2 linked regions of the Oryctolagus cuniculus genome follow. The protein of the gene in region 1 interacts with the protein of each later gene in a biochemical or structural test. Links are inferred from orthologs where the notes say so. Each region holds a gene or a part of one and is shown in the gene's direction. Other genes may lie near its edges.

The links. The genes of interacting proteins can lie anywhere in the genome.
Region 2: the proteins of SYTL4 (region 1) and RAB8A form a complex in vitro, tested with the Homo sapiens proteins (2 studies listed by BioGRID). The link is inferred for Oryctolagus cuniculus from reciprocal best matches to the Homo sapiens genes SYTL4 and RAB8A.

The regions. Positions count from the first base shown.
Region 1 is NC_091453.1:92,032,436-92,039,672, forward strand, and holds part of SYTL4 (synaptotagmin-like protein 4), read left to right. Parts: intron 1-3,546; coding exon 3,547-3,655; intron 3,656-5,490; coding exon 5,491-5,590; intron 5,591-6,344; coding exon 6,345-6,553; intron 6,554-7,237. UniProt on the Homo sapiens protein: Modulates exocytosis of dense-core granules and secretion of hormones in the pancreas and the pituitary. Interacts with vesicles containing negatively charged phospholipids in a Ca(2+)-independent manner.
Region 2 is NC_091447.1:64,694,217-64,702,223, forward strand, and holds the start of RAB8A (ras-related protein Rab-8A), read left to right. Parts: upstream 1-3,701; 5' UTR 3,702-3,749; coding exon 3,750-3,873; intron 3,874-7,258; coding exon 7,259-7,319; intron 7,320-8,007. UniProt on the Homo sapiens protein: The small GTPases Rab are key regulators of intracellular membrane trafficking, from the formation of transport vesicles to their fusion with membranes.

The DNA.
Region 1 (7,237 bases):
ACAATTCCTTCCGCAGGGCGATCAGAGGTAGAATTATCTGCAGCGACCTCTGCTGGTCAGTGTTGTTAGCAGCTTTGTATGTAGTCTTATGTGGAGTTCTAGCGCACCCTGCTGGCACTTCTGAGTTTGACATCAATTTTAGAGGCACTTGGTGTGTTAAGCGTGAATGCTCTCTTCCGCATAAGCCGGGCAAAGTGTGAAGCCTTGGTTTGCATTGAAAAGTCTTTAATATGTGTGTCAAGCTTTGCCTCCTAACCTTTCATAGCCTGAGTGTTTCCTAACGTCCTAACTTGCATCTCTTTTCCAAGTTAACCCTCTGGGTGTATCCTAATCTGTGCCTGTTTTCCAAGCTAACTTTCTTGCTGAGGAAGTGGGAAGTAAAGCAGTTCATGAAACTCCATTGCTGTGTTCCTCGTTACACGGGCGAGAGAAATTTACTCTGGAGATGGCATCTCAGGTGAGAGTGCAGCAGTGCGGCATGACCGTGCCTGGCATCTGAGTGCAGGCCTGCACTGAATCCTGGTTCTGGCCCTTGTCCGCTAGGTGAGTCACCTAACTCATGAAGTAGCTTAGGAAAGTCACCCAAAGCTCTAGGAGCCTCAGCTTCTTGTTTAAAGATGGACAAACAATAAAACAATAATGTGCCTCTTTTTCAGGATTATATACAAAGTACCAGTCAGAGCCTGGCACATAGGGAGCGTTCAACAATCCTGGTTAAGTTGAAATTGCTAAAACAGGACTCAGCAACTTCTTGATCATCAGAACTATGCAATGACAAAGTTCCTCTTTAAAATTGTTTTATATTAGCATCTTAAATGTTTAAGATAATCCATGATGCATAGAATATTTTTGGAAAGTTATGAAAGAAATTAGTATTGATGGCTGCCTCTAGGGAGGGAGACTGAAACAGAAGGGGGCTTTCGGCTGCTTTATATGCCCCTTTTGAACGTTTGAACTTTTTGCAATGTTAAGAAAATTAAGCATTAGAGGACATACATGCATGTGGTTCAGAACTAAACCAATAGAAAGTGTTTTTTAAAAGAGGAAGTAGATTTCATTCCCCAGAAATAACCATTGTAAACAGCTGGTTGGATATCATTCTAGAAATCTTGTATCAAGCAGCACAGATATACATCTACACATTATACACACACACACACACACACACAAACACACTTTTGCACAAATGGGCTCACGTGAACCTCGTTGTTTCTCTTGATTATGGTAATTTTACAATTTATCATGGGCATCCTTAGGCCACTGCTTACAGATCTATCATTTTCTTTTCTCATAGCCTTCTGCCATGTCCCTGGATGCTAACTTACTTACCACTCCATCACTAATGGGCATTTAATTGTTCACATGTTTACTTTCTCTTAAAACCATGCTCTAGTATATCTTGGGCTTCTATAACTGTCAGAGGGATTCCTGGTGGTGGAATTGCTGAGTCAAAAGAAACGCATAACTCATAATTTGATAGCTGTTGCCCTCCAAAAATAATGACAATGGCAAATTTGTCCCCTTTAAATACTAATAAGAGCAGGAAAGCAATTATTAGAACCTAGAATTTTTCAAGCATCTGACATAGAAGTCATCCTCTTGGGTCTACTCGTGATATGATTGTACTGGACATGTCACAAGCTACTGCCAATTAAAATGTCTTACATAAAGAGAAGCATCTGCATTAAAATGGGGTATTTATTCTTTGCAAAGAATTTTAAGCCAGAATTGAAATGTGTTGCTGAAACAAATATGCCAGTGTCTAACTAATGCTAAACTCCATTTTTTTTAAAAATCTACTGAAGTTCATAACCTAGAAATTAATAAATTGCATGGACTTTCATAAATGACAAAATTCTACTCTCATATTAAATATTTTATCTGAAAGCATTCTACATTTGTTCTTTCTGGTTTTTCTTACTTGTCTCTAGAAATCCATTTGCTCCCTTTGGTTTTCACTTAGTAGCATCCACCTCTTGCTTCTTCTGCGTCTGTCCCCTGTACTAAACTTTGTGTTGTCTGGGGATGTGCTACCTGACCCAGACCTATGGGGATTATGCCTGTCTAATGTCAGTGTGTTCAGAGTAAGGACCAAGGTTACAGGACCCTAGTGAACACAGGCATGTAAACGGGCACCTCTAGTCTACCCCAGCCCAAGCTCTGGATACCAAATCATAAAGAACAGAGTCAAACCAGAAAGACCCAATAGAGTGAAGCAATTCTACCACTCAAAGCAAAAGATGGTGGGCCACGCACTGCTCATCCCAGATACCGATTCAACTACTCTTATGCTCATTATGTTAATATCTGTGGAGTGTCTACTGTGTGCTCATATTTTGCTACGTGTTCAACGTACTAGGATGAACAAAAATAGACTTGATTCTTATCCTCCTGGCACTTAGATTCTGGTGGTAGAGACAGACACTACTCAAACATAATGTGAGTAACTGTAAAATTGAGAATTGTGCCATATTCAAATCCTTGTAAGAGTTCCATCTAGCCCTCAAATCTTTGCAAGCCGTTTCAACAAACATACTTTCTATCTTTAGAAACAACACTAGTGATATGTGCCATTCTCATTTTAAAAGACACTGTAGCTGCCGTTATTACAGAGGAAGAAGGGAAAGCCCTTTAATCCCTAGTCTTTTCTCCTCCCTAGTGGAAACAAGTGTTAACTTTGCATCCTTCTAGGGTTTTCTACGCAGTGTAATACTCTGGCTAAAAGCATGTACTCTGCCTGCATTTGAATCCTGTATCTTCCAGTTACTAATTGTGTGATCTTGGGAAAGTTACTTAATGTCTCTGTTCCTCTGTTTCATAGCTTGTAAGACAGGGATAATAATACCTGTCTCATAAGGAGTATCTTGAGGATTAAACAAAACAATGTATTTAATGTACTTAAAACAATACTTGGCACATAGTAAGTGCTGCATAGAAGTGGTCATGATACCACTTACTATTTACATATATATATATTCACATAGACAAATATGAATATATTTTAACGTGAGATATTTTCTCTGCACATTGCTTTGTTGGCTTAACAGAATGTCTTAGACATCTTTCCATGTCAGCATGGACAGATTCCCTGCATTCTCATTGATGACTGCCTGCCACATGCCATAGGAAGATATTGAAATCACTTCCTATATTGATTGATATTTAGGCTGTTTCCACTTTCTGGCTATTACTAACAACCCTGGCAGCAAGATTCTTTGTCATGGTGTCAATCCTTTGTGAGTTGTGTGGCAAGCTTGCTGGAAGACCTTTGAGTGTTTGCAGTCTACTAACTGTGTCCCCACGGTGCCATAGTAGTGGGGATTGCGGAAGGCTCTTGGTTGTTGCCACTACTAGGCTCCTCCTGGAGACTGCCTTGAAAACCTGTGGCAGCCATGGCCTGAGGACCCTGGGTTGTATTCATAAGGAGCTAGGAGCCTCTTTTGCTGAGAAGCTGTTCTTGGGGGATACTGTTTAGGACGCCCTCAGGGAATGATCCCAACTGCCTGAGCAGCCTGGCTTGACGTGATGGGTTTCCCTGTGTTTCAGGTCAGTGCTGAGTCCCTGACTGGCTTGCCATCACACAAAGGCGAGTTGGTGGTTTCATTGAAATACATCCCAGCCTCCAAACTCCCTGTTGGAGGTGACCGGAAAAAGAGTGAGTTTTCTCTGGGGCCCTGGCTTTAGCCCTTAGTCTTCTGCACAGGATCTGTGCGAGGCTGCTGCTGGCTCTGGGTTGCACAGGTAGAGAGCCCAGATTGGGATGCTCCCTGGGTCAGGGAAGACTCTGTTACTAAGGAAGCCTTTTCTGTACTTTTCAATCAAAAGGGAGCACCTTAGGGTTGACATTCCTTTTTTCTAAATACTATTAACCTGACATGGTCTCAGTCCATCTATGGCAGGCTATGATGAGGACAGAAGAGAACAGAAACATTGGGGCTGCGAAGGGCAGTTAGCAGGAGTGGTCAAATCAAGTTTGAGGAGTAGGAAACCGAAGGCTGAGGGAGAATAATTCAGCATGCCAGGCACTGTGCTAGTGACTATGGATATGTAGGTGATGCACGGGAGGAAGATGTGATATTTGACCTCCTTTGAGGAATGAATTAAACCAAAACAGTCATGTGCTAAAGGGACACAGGTCCAGGAGTCATGAATTCTGTCTGGTTACATTTGGGAGCGCTAGGAGAAGGTAATGTTGAAACTGGACACTAGGACTTTAATAGGCAAAAAGGAAGAGGATGTGGAGAGAGGAGTATTTCCAGAAGACAGGATTGCACATGCCAAGGTTTTAACAGGCATGGGAAATGTGAGGTTATATGTGAGGGTGGGGGAGTGACCCCTTATTTCAGTGGACTGCAGTGTTGGTACACATGTGTGGCAGGGGGCTGGAATAGGGGCTTAACTGAATAGAGCCTGGCCACAGTGGTAAGGAGTTTAGCTTGATCCATCAGCCGTGGGAAGGCAAAGTTCTTCCAAAACAGATCTTCAGCCAGGTCTAATCGAGAAGATTTGGGGCATCAGTGAAATCCCCAAGGAGGGTGTGTTGAATATTTAGAGAAGTGATAGAACCATGGGGAAAAGCAACAGTGAAGGATAAAGAGGGAAAGAAGTGGCAGTGAAAGAGAGGGACACCAGGCGAGAGAAATGCCAGGAGAGCTTCGGAAAAAAGGCAAAGGAGGGCATGGGCCAGGCCAGCTGAGGACTGAGCAGACTCGCCTCACTGGCATTGCACTGTATTTTCAGTGCATTAGTTGAGGCAGCAACCAGATTTCACTAGAAACTAGACTGAGTGAACCAGGCAAAGCAGTAGAGCCAGTGAGTGTGGATTTCTTTTTCAGGGTAGTTGATGGTGAACGAAAGGAGACAGACACATCAAGAATAACCTGAAGGAGAGAGAAGCTTGAAGGGAGATATTCTTTTCAAAGGATGTTTTCTTTCTTCCTTCCTTCCTTCCTTCCTTCCTTCCTTCCTTCCTTCCTTCCTTTCTTTCTTTCTTTCTTTTTGAAAGAACCAGTGAGATTAGCACATATGTAGACTGAGAAACAAATCTTACAAATGGGAGGTGAGGGTCGAAGTTGGTGCTACCTGATGAGTCCTGTGAAGTGAGGACTGGAGCAAGAACTCAAGTGGAGGAGTTCCCTTTTTAATCATTCAACAAGTATCAGGAACTTTATTTCTCTAAGCCTCAGTTTCTTCATCTATCAAATGAGGACAAAAATAGTGTATATCTCGGAGGGTTGTTTTGAGAATGAAATGCTTAAGGTAGTCTCTGGCGCATAGCCCATTCCCATTTGCAGTTACTATTTATTGCTGTTGTAGTGGGATTAACTGAGCACCTATGGCTTACAGTCAGGTACTGGGCTAGGTACTGAGGATACAGGTGAAGTCTGCCTCAGGTTGTTACAGAGCAAGAGAAGGGAGTGCTGCATAGCTAGAGCTTAGGACAAATCCAGAGTGTAGCAGCTCACTTGCTATGGCTGACGTCCCTTACAGGTAAAGGTGGGGAAGGGGGAGAGCTCCAGGTGTGGATCAAAGAAGCCAAGAACCTGACGGCTGCCAAATCAGGAGGGACTTCAGACAGCTTTGTCAAGGGGTGAGTCCCTGGACCAGTGCCAAACTAACTAACCAGTTCCAGGACGTGAGAGCCAAGGGAGGAACCCAATTTAACCCTTCCCTGTGGATGCTGTCCTTATGTGTCCTCCCAAGCTCCAGCTTTGTTTGCCTTGTTCCTGAAATTCCATAATGGTAACACCTCCACCACCACTTGTGTACTGGTCTGAGCCCAGGTTGGACTGGGCTGTAGCATTGCTATGCAAAGAGTAGGAAGGTACTCAGATATAGTCTGGCTGTTCTCCCACCCCTGCTCTGAAGTAGTCCTGGATGAAAACCCATGGCCCCTGACTGTGTGGATTTGGGAACTCGGGGCTTTGTTTCCTGTGATTTTTAAGCAATGCTTGCTATCCCCAGATTATAGATCACCCAAGGATGGACATTCGTTACCAACACTTGTTTGGCTGAGCCTACAGATGCTGCCGTTGGTTTTATTTAAAGAGAACCTTACCAAGTAGCAGTGGGACCACATATTTAAAACCTAGTTTTGGTGGAGCACAGATAGCAACTTCGCTAATATATTCATTTCCTCTCCAGGTAACAGGAATTGGATCAGGTGCATGATCTAGTGGAGGTAGTAGGACGTCTGCTTCAGCAGATTCAGAGGAGGGCTGTGTGTACTAGGTTCTGGGTGTTGATGTACCTTGCTGGGCCAGGCCTGTGGTCAAAAAAAGGGGACTTTAGACAGATGTTGCTGGCTTTGAGTAGGCTGCTGACTACTCCCCACCCTCTGCCAGATACCTCCTGCCCATGAGGACCAAGGCCAGTAAGCGTAAAACTCCCGTGGTGAAGAAGACCCTGAATCCCCACTACAACCATACATTTGTCTACAATGGTGTGAGGCTGGAAGATCTACAACACATGTGCCTGGAACTGACTGTGTGGGACCGGGAAGCCCTGGCCAGCAATGACTTCCTGGGAGGGGTCAGACTGGGTGTTGGCACTGGTGAGAGCCTCTCCCCCATCCTCACTTGTTTCAAAGGCCTCTTGCCTATTTCAATCCCAGTACCTCCCTTTCCCCCCTCCTCCCCCCCACCCTCGGTGCTCCTGCACACACAAAACTCCTCTATGACAACAGTTACCTTCTTTCTTTTCAGTTAACATCCAGCAAACACTTACTGAGTGCCTACTATGTGCCAGGCCGAGGGGAAGGCTGAACTTACACACTGTTATGTGTATAGATAAATGTGACCTTGATTGCAAGGAATGCCATACTCTTCCCACCTGTAACTCTACAAGCCTGCTTAGTATCTGTACCTGTAATTTCCACCTCATGTCTTGTTAAAATGGGACGAGTCTTTGCTAGTGAAGGCCAAGCTCTCTCCGAGTATCTGGACCACCCCACCACCCCAGCCCACTGACCTCACCTGTGTAATCTCCATCTGTCCTGGGTGATCCGTTTCATCCTCCTTCTCTGGAAGAGGTGAATACAGGTGTGCCCTAGTATTTCCACTCTTACTGAACAACCACCACCACAACAAAAAACTCCCTTCACTACCCTGCTGCCCTCTCTTCTTAAAACAAATGGCCTCTATTTTCTTCTCTCTCCTTTAGTTCTCAACCCATCGGGATCTGGCTTCTGTGCCACCACTCTGCAGAGCAGTTGGTCATGCCACAATATGATTTTCAT
Region 2 (8,007 bases), on another chromosome or scaffold:
AAACTGAGCGAGTTTTTTGTTTTGTTTTGTTTTTTTTTTTTTTTTTCCTGTTAACACAGTATTAGGCAGAAGAGGCCTGTCTGGTAGCCAGAAAAGTTACTGGCTTCATGTCATCTCCATACTTGAGGGAATTGCAAAGTGAGGATTTTCTGAATCTAGGACTTTGGAGTTCCTTCTTCAGGACCAAGTTAATAAAAAGACCAAGAAACTCCTGATTAAACTGGATATGGAGTATTTGGTAGACAGCAGCTGCACATTTTCACTTTCTTACATTTCTGCTTTATCGGTTAACATCTCAGAGCTGAAACATTCCATATTCTCCGACAGTGTGGGGGCCAATTCAAGTTTACAATTCTGACTAAAAAGCACCCTGCTTCTAGCTTACCTGAACCCCTGCCCTTCACTTCTATTTATTATTAAGCATCACACTACCCAGGAGATACACTAGCCAATTGTGCAATGGAATAAAACCCACACTTTCTTTAGATTCTTGCAACTGTATCATATGTAATGGTATCACTTTTTCTACATTTTGGTCAAATAAATTTTTACAGAAACTCCCATTTGTGTGAATTTTGTTTCGATGAATGTTGTTAGTGGGGTAGCGAGGGGGAGATAACTGGGCCAAGAACTTTGCAGATGTTATTTATTTACTTTGTACCATGACTTCATGATAGAAGAATGAATGATCTCCCTGTTGCACATGAGAACACCTGGCCTCAGCAACTCAAAAGCTCTTGTCCTTTGTTATCCGCAATCCTGTCTGAGCAGGGCTGTGAAGAATGAGTAGGATTTTAATAGATGGTGAAGACAGGCGAGATGGGCTCACTGTTTGACTTAGGAAAGTGCAAGGCCTGCCCGGACAAGGTTTTCTATGTGTTGTACCCTAGGTAGAAAAGCTGGACGGTTGGCTGGATCCAAAATTGATAAGAGCTAGAATTTAACTTACTGAGGAGTAGAGACCCAAACTGAAGTAAACACATCAAGACATTAGGAAAATGCACTTAGCACCTATTTTCAGGTGGTGGCCTGTACAGACAGGAAGGTGTCAGGAAGATGTTTCAGTACACAGAGTGGTTGCCATGCAGTAAGAGGGAAGAAGTGATCAGAAGGAAGCAATCTTAAAATGTAGCCGACTTGATGGCAGGGATCTGAGAGATGAGAGTGTCAAAGCTGACTAGTTTCACTACCTGAATTGCTTTGATAATCTGGATAAAAGATCCAATCCAGAAAGGGAGGCAGAAAAATCAAAAAGAGGTATGAAAACCTTTTTAAAAATTAATGTGATATGGAAACAAGCTTTTTGCGCTCAAGTACAATTAAAACATGTCCTTCATGTTAATTAAGCAGTAGTTGACAGCTTAGGTGGAAGGTGGGAGCAATGTCGATGGCAGTGTAACTCCCTCCAGTGTGAGCCCTACCATTTCTAGATTGAAGTTCCTCTTTTACTTCTCTCTTCCCCCTCCTCTGCACCCACTTTGGGTGTAGTCTAGTCTCTGGATACTGTTTTAGTCATCCTTGTACCTCAGCACTTAACATGAATGTTCCATGTTTGTTAAACTGACTTGTCCCAGCTCTTGGGGAGTTCCCAGTCCCATAAAGTGTGTGTGGAACACAGGGTGAGAATAGGACAAGGTAGTGAGAGGTATCATACTCAAAAGTATAGATTTTGGACTTTATCTTTATTGAGATCAATATTAGTTAAGTGAGTTAGAGTGAGCACACTGCAGGGTGGAATCTAGGCTAGGGAAAATGGCCAGGGAGACCAGTGGCAACCTGACTGTGGCAGTGGAAGAGCAAGACTCTTGAAAAATCAGGATGTGAGAGATGAGTCAAAAGGTAACTCCAGGTAAGTGAATGTGAGATGAGATTAATTGTGGACATAGTGAGTGTGAAGTTATCTTTGGCAAATCCAAAGGTAGATGTCAAGAAACTAGTTGGACATGGAGGGATGGTGAGCTATGGCTTAAGAAATGAGACTCGTCAGTGTGGAGGTATTAGAAGCCACCGGACTGAATGAGATCACCCAGAAATTGAGACCAGAGACAGAACCACGAGGAACATAAACATCTAAGGCACAAATAGAAATCTTCCAAAGAAGCAGCACCCAGAAATGGGGAAGCAGACACAATAGAAATAAAATCAGGGAGAGAACCAAGAAAAAATCACTTCCACAGTTAGTGGTTGAGTTGTCAAATACCTCAGAGGCTGAGGCTTATGAAGTGGTCAGTGGCTCTGACTGAAGTTTTCTTAACCCTGAGTGAGGTCAGCGAAAAGAATGAGCCTAGGAAGGGTGGAGGAGAGGCCAGGGCCATCTTCCAGAGAGCCTTAGGCAAGCCTCCAGGCCTCTCTGATGCCCTCAGTGTGACCTACAAGAGACTGGACCATCGCTGAGAGGCACAAACCCCAGTGGTTCCAACTTTGGTTCTCTGATGCTTGGTGGTTTGAATTCAAAAACTAACTTCCCACTTGAGAGCCTGGGAAAGTCAACCTCCTGTGGGCCTGTTTTCCCACCATAAGAAAAAAAAATACAAAACTATCATAAAACTTTTTTTAAAAAAAGATTTATTTATTTGAAAGGGAGAGTTACAGAAAGGGAGAGATATCTTCCATCCGCGGATAGCTCTGGTTAGGTCAAGCCAAAGCCGGGAGCTTGGCTCCTCCCACGTGGGTGGCAGGGGCCCAAGCACCTGGGCCATCTTTGGCCGCCCTCCGGGGCACATGAGCAGGGAAGTGGCTCAGAAGTGGAGCAGCCCCAAACTTTTTTTTTTTTAAGTGTTGGTTACCACCGCCAGGCACAGACGCAACGCTCCTTAACGTGACCTAGAATTGCCGCCGCCCTGAGTCCCCGGGCGGGTGACTTGACCGCCTCAGACAGCCGGCTGGGTGTGAGGCTGACGAGGCTGGGGGGATGGACACTAGAAGCTGAAGGTGGCCGGGACAGCCTCTAATTAGGTCCGAGGGCGGGTCTCGCTTGAGGCGTCCCAATTTCTCCTCAGGGCGCAGCTGGCGGCGGGAAAGCCGCTCAGGTCGCCGAGGCCTGGATATTTCTCTTGGCCGAGAGCCCGCAGCCCGTCTCGAGGGGTTGCATTTCTGTCTCGATGAGCTCCCGGCTCTCTCTGTTTCCTCTTTGGCTCCCACTGACGGGCAGGACGCGGAAAACTCCACTTGGCGTTGCCTGGCTACCCAGCCTTCCCGCGCTCGCCTTGGCGCCTACTGCGGCTGCGCGAGCCGTCAGGGCGGGCCCCAGGGGCTCCTCCACGTGCGTGCGCCCTCTGCCGGCGACCAACGATCTTTCAAGTGCGCGTGCGCCTATCCACCAGGCCCCGCCCCTGGGCTGCCGGCGCGCGAAGCCGTTGGCCCCGCTCCCGACTCGCCCCTTCCCCTCAGAGGGCGGGGCGGGGCCTCCCCAGAGCCCGAGGCGGGGGGGGGAGGCGGGGACATGGGATGCCACACCCCCGCCCCGGTCCCTGTTTGAAGCCCCTCTACTCTTCATCGCTGGCCAATCCCAGCCCGCCCTGTCCCGAGCGCCGACCAATGGGAGGCGCGCTCGAGCTGCTTCCGGCTCCGCGCTCCGCTCGCCCCTTCCTCAGGTCTCCCCGCGACGGGCGGGGCTCGGGGGCGGGCGTCGGCCGCGGTGACGCGCGGCGGGCCGGGAGCCAATGAGGGGCGGGCTCGGAGCTGATGGACGGGTCCAGCGGCCAGTGGCGAGGCGCTGGCCGCACTTCCCGTCGAGGAGAGAGTGTAATATGGCGAAGACCTACGATTACCTGTTCAAGCTGCTGCTGATCGGGGACTCGGGGGTGGGGAAGACCTGTGTCCTGTTCCGCTTCTCCGAGGACGCCTTCAACTCCACTTTCATCTCCACCATAGGTAGCGGGGCTGGGGAGCGGCCGGGGGCGCCGGAGGCCCGGGCCGGGCGCGCCCCTGAGGGGCTGGGGCTGAGGCATCGACCCTGGCCGAGGGGCAGCGGGCTCTCAGGGGGTCTGAAGGGAGCCGAGCAGCTGGCTCCGCCGCGCTTCGCGGGTTCCCGGGCCGTGGTGGTGCTGGGGACCAGTGCCTGTTTGGCGAGTGGGTAGACTGAGGCTCCCGCCTCTCAGCCCGCTCCGTCGGGAGTGTCGGTCCGGGGCTGGGGTTTTGGCGCCCATCCTCTCGTGCCGTCCTCGCAGCCCCTTGCCAAGCCAAGTTCATCTGTGGGCGTTGTGGGAGGGGTCGGTCGTACAGAAGTGGATGCTGGGGCACTTGCGCTCTGCCAGCTGCGTGATCGCGCCCTCCTGGGGCTGCAAGTTAAGGTGTTTGTCACGAACCCATTTCGCGGATGCGGGATTTGAGGCTCAGGGTGGCCGGGGGACTTGTCCAAGGTCACACAACCTGCAGAATAAATGGCACGGATGAGACTTGAACCTCGATGCGTCTTGACAGCCCAGAGGAGCCACTTGGGAGCAACACTCCGACCCCCACCTCTCTCTCCTGCTTTTTCCCCTGGGACTGGACTTTAAGGACTGAGCCTCCTCCCTGGCCCTGGAATCGTGAGGGAGAGTGAGGAGCATTTACCCTGCCCCGCCCTCTATCCCACTCAAGGGTGACAGCCCCAGTGAGTGACAGCTGCCCGCCCAGGGACCTGTCATCCCCTCCCCCAAGGAGATGCAAGATACAAGGCTCCGTGAGAAGCCACAGACAGCACCCCACTCCCTATCACAGGGCCCAGGACTCCGTGGTTGTCCCACTGAGGGAACAGCGCTTCCGGCTGGGCCACCCCACGTGGCGGCTGAGCGGAATCCACTTGTCTTTTTCTGTCGGCCCTGCTGACTTCTCATCACCGTGCCACAAAAGCCAGCCCCTGCCCACGATGACAAGGCTGGACCCGGGAGGCACAGCCGTCCCACAGTGGCCTGCGAGCTAGGTAGCCCTGTTCAGGAAGCAGAGGGGACAGTCACCCAGTCCAGGGGTTGACCCCAGACTGAGGAAACTTAGGGAATGGCTTCCCCCCACCCCACCCCACCCCACCACTGCCACCACCACCATGTCACTTGAGCCACATCTCATTATCACCCGGAACTCCACCATGCTGGAGGTCACCATGCCTGCTTTCCTGTTGCTCTTTGCCCTGGAACAAGCACTACCCCTCTCTGAGCCCCGTGTCTTCAGATTAGAACTCCATACAATGAATGAACGGCCGCCCGTGGCCCAGAGCGACAATCTGGGGGAGACCGATTGGTTCCTGGAGTCGCCTCGCGTGGCGGGAGGTGGCACGGGAGCCAGGGTCCTGTCCTGTCCTGCCACACCAGTCTTCTTCCTGTTACATTTGAAGCCGCCTTAACGGGGCTCTGGCTTCTAGGCTTTGCTCAACCATGACCTTGGAGTTAACGGGCCTCGTAAAGTGTGCGCTTGCTAATTGAACCTCGCGTGTTCCTAGAACCCAGGAGGAGTGCAGGACAGAGGGCTGCTCTAGGGCTCAGGCGACTGAGCAGTGCATCTTGAGTTTGTGCAGCCCAGTGACAGGAGGTGCAAAGGATCCGCGCCCGACTGCTTTATCCCTGAGACAGAACTCAGGCACAGAGCCCTTGGATATTGGTATCGAGTGCCCCTCTGGGTTTTCTTAATAGATCGGGGATTGAATGGCTGTTCATTTGCTTCCCTGGGGTTACGTCTTGCCAAGGCCCATTCTTAGGAGCTCCATCCATCATCTGTGGTGTGAACTTGGCCCTGCGGCTCCCTGCGATCCATTCTCTACCAGCCTGGCTCCGTCCCCGCCATCTCCTCGGGGACCCCGCTCCGTGCCTTCTGCGAGACGGATGATGTTTGTGCAAGTGCCTCCCTCACCACGCGCGGCCACCTACACCCTGTGGCTCTGTGGCATGCCAGCCGCCTTCCACGGACATCTGGGCATCAGCACTGGAGCCAGGGCTTCAGAGCCGGCTCGGGTGCATCAGGAGGGGAGGTAGCGACGGCACGAGGCTGGGCGTTTTGTCCCTGTGACAGCAGCAAGGAAGCTGCGTGCAGCCCATTGCCTTGGCAAAGTTGCTAATGGGCAGAGTTCGAGTGCACGCTTGGGTTTGCAGCCACGAACCTGGAGCTCCATCCGGGTCTCCCATGTGGGTGGCAGGGGCCCCAGGCACTTGAGCCGTCTTTGGCTGCTGCCTTCCCAGGCGCATCCACAGGGTGTTTGGATCGGAAGCGCGCAGTAGCTGGGCCTTGAACCGGCGCTCATCCGGGATGCCGGCACCAGCCCCTTTGTAACAGCTTCAGTGAGATAATGGGGTACCGTACGGTGTCACCCACCAACCAGGTACAATTCAGGGGTGCTTTTCTGCACTCACCACAATCCGTTTTGCATTTTGGTCATGCTGGAAGAAACCCCCACCCTCCTCCGCCAATCCCCAGTCTCCCACTCTCCCCAGCCCCCGGCAACCCCGAACACACGCCCGGTGTCTGTGGGCTTGCTGTTGTGGACATTTCTGTCACAAGGTAGAAGAGGTGTGGCCTGGTGCGTGCAGTTTCTCTCGCTCAGCATCATGGCTTCCAGGGTGCATCCCTGCTGCAGCGAGTGTGGGCACTTTGTTCCTTTTTGTGGCTGGGCAGTATTCCACTTTGGGTTGGTCCAGTCACCGGCCGGTGGACCCACAGAAAGGTCTGGAGCAGAGGTTTGCTTGGTGACCTGGTTAGGAGAGCACTGGGGTGCCGGCTCTGAGGGCCCCGCAAAGGCACCCTTGGCAAAGGAGAATGAAGCAGGAGGTGGGGAAGGAGGAGGAGGTAAGGTCAGGACAGTGTCTTGGGAAGTGACCCCGGGGGAGGAGAAATTAGCACAGCTGATGGGCAGAGAGGGACTGGCATGTGCAAAGGCCCTGGGGCAAGAAAGGACATGGCCTGGGTGCCTCGGGGTGTGTGATGGAGCACCGTGCAGGGCCGTGTGGGACAGGGAGACAGGCACGGCTGGCGGCATTGGCAAGGGAGGAGACCAAAGACGTTGGCAGCCTGAGCTCCTGGGTGTGCCCACCATCTGTCACTCTGGGCAGCTCCCGTCGGCTCTGAGAGCCTCAGGCGCCCCGTTCTGTGAAAGGGGAGAGTCTCCAGATGCTTCCAGACTTGCTGGGGAGGAGGCAGAGGGCACACATCCCCAACAGCAGGCAGGTGAACCCCCAAGCGGAGGCAGGTGACCGTTCCCCCAGAAACATAGGTTGGCTGACCCCGCCCCCAGACAGCACCCGGGACAATGGGCTGACCGTGATGGGTCTTCTTTTATTCTTTTCTATTTCAGGAATCGACTTTAAAATTAGGACCATAGAACTCGATGGCAAAAGAATTAAACTACAGATATGGTAAGTGGTGCCCTGGGGCAGCCTCTGAACCCGGCGAGCGCTTGGAGCCAGGAGCCCTTGGTGCCTGCCCCTCCCCACCCCCACACCCCGTGACCTTGGCCTTCATCTCTTGGTGCCCAGGGCTGCCTTCAGGCTGTCTTCAAAAACTCTCAAGTGCTCTCCCCATCAGGGACCTGTGCGCTGCTGCTGTGGCCCGGGGGACTGTGTCCACACCTGTTGGGGACATCACCCCAGGCCCGCTTAGCTCAACCTTCTGTGTTGTTTTTTGTTTTTTTGTGTTTTTTTTTTGAGATTAATTTGAGAGACAAGAGACAGACAGAACTCCCGTCTGTGGGTTCACTCCCCAGATGCCAGAGCTGAAGCTGGGAGCCAGGAACTCCATCCAAGGTCTCCCACATGGGTGGCAGGGACCCAGGCCATCATCTGCTACCTCACAGGGGCCCTGCATGAGCAGGGAGCTGGAGTCAGGAGCCAGAGCTGGGATTCCAAGCCAGGCCCAGCACTCTGATGCGGACAAAGTCCAGGTCTGTGCCCGGGTGCGGAGCCGCCCTGACTGCACCTTTCCTTTGGAGTCCATCAGCTCATACTAGAGTGTAAAGGTCTACTAGCACTTCCTCTTTTTTCTCCTGGGGAAGCCCAAGCCTCGTTTCCTGGCATGCAGACCTGAAACCCAGTCCCCCAACACACA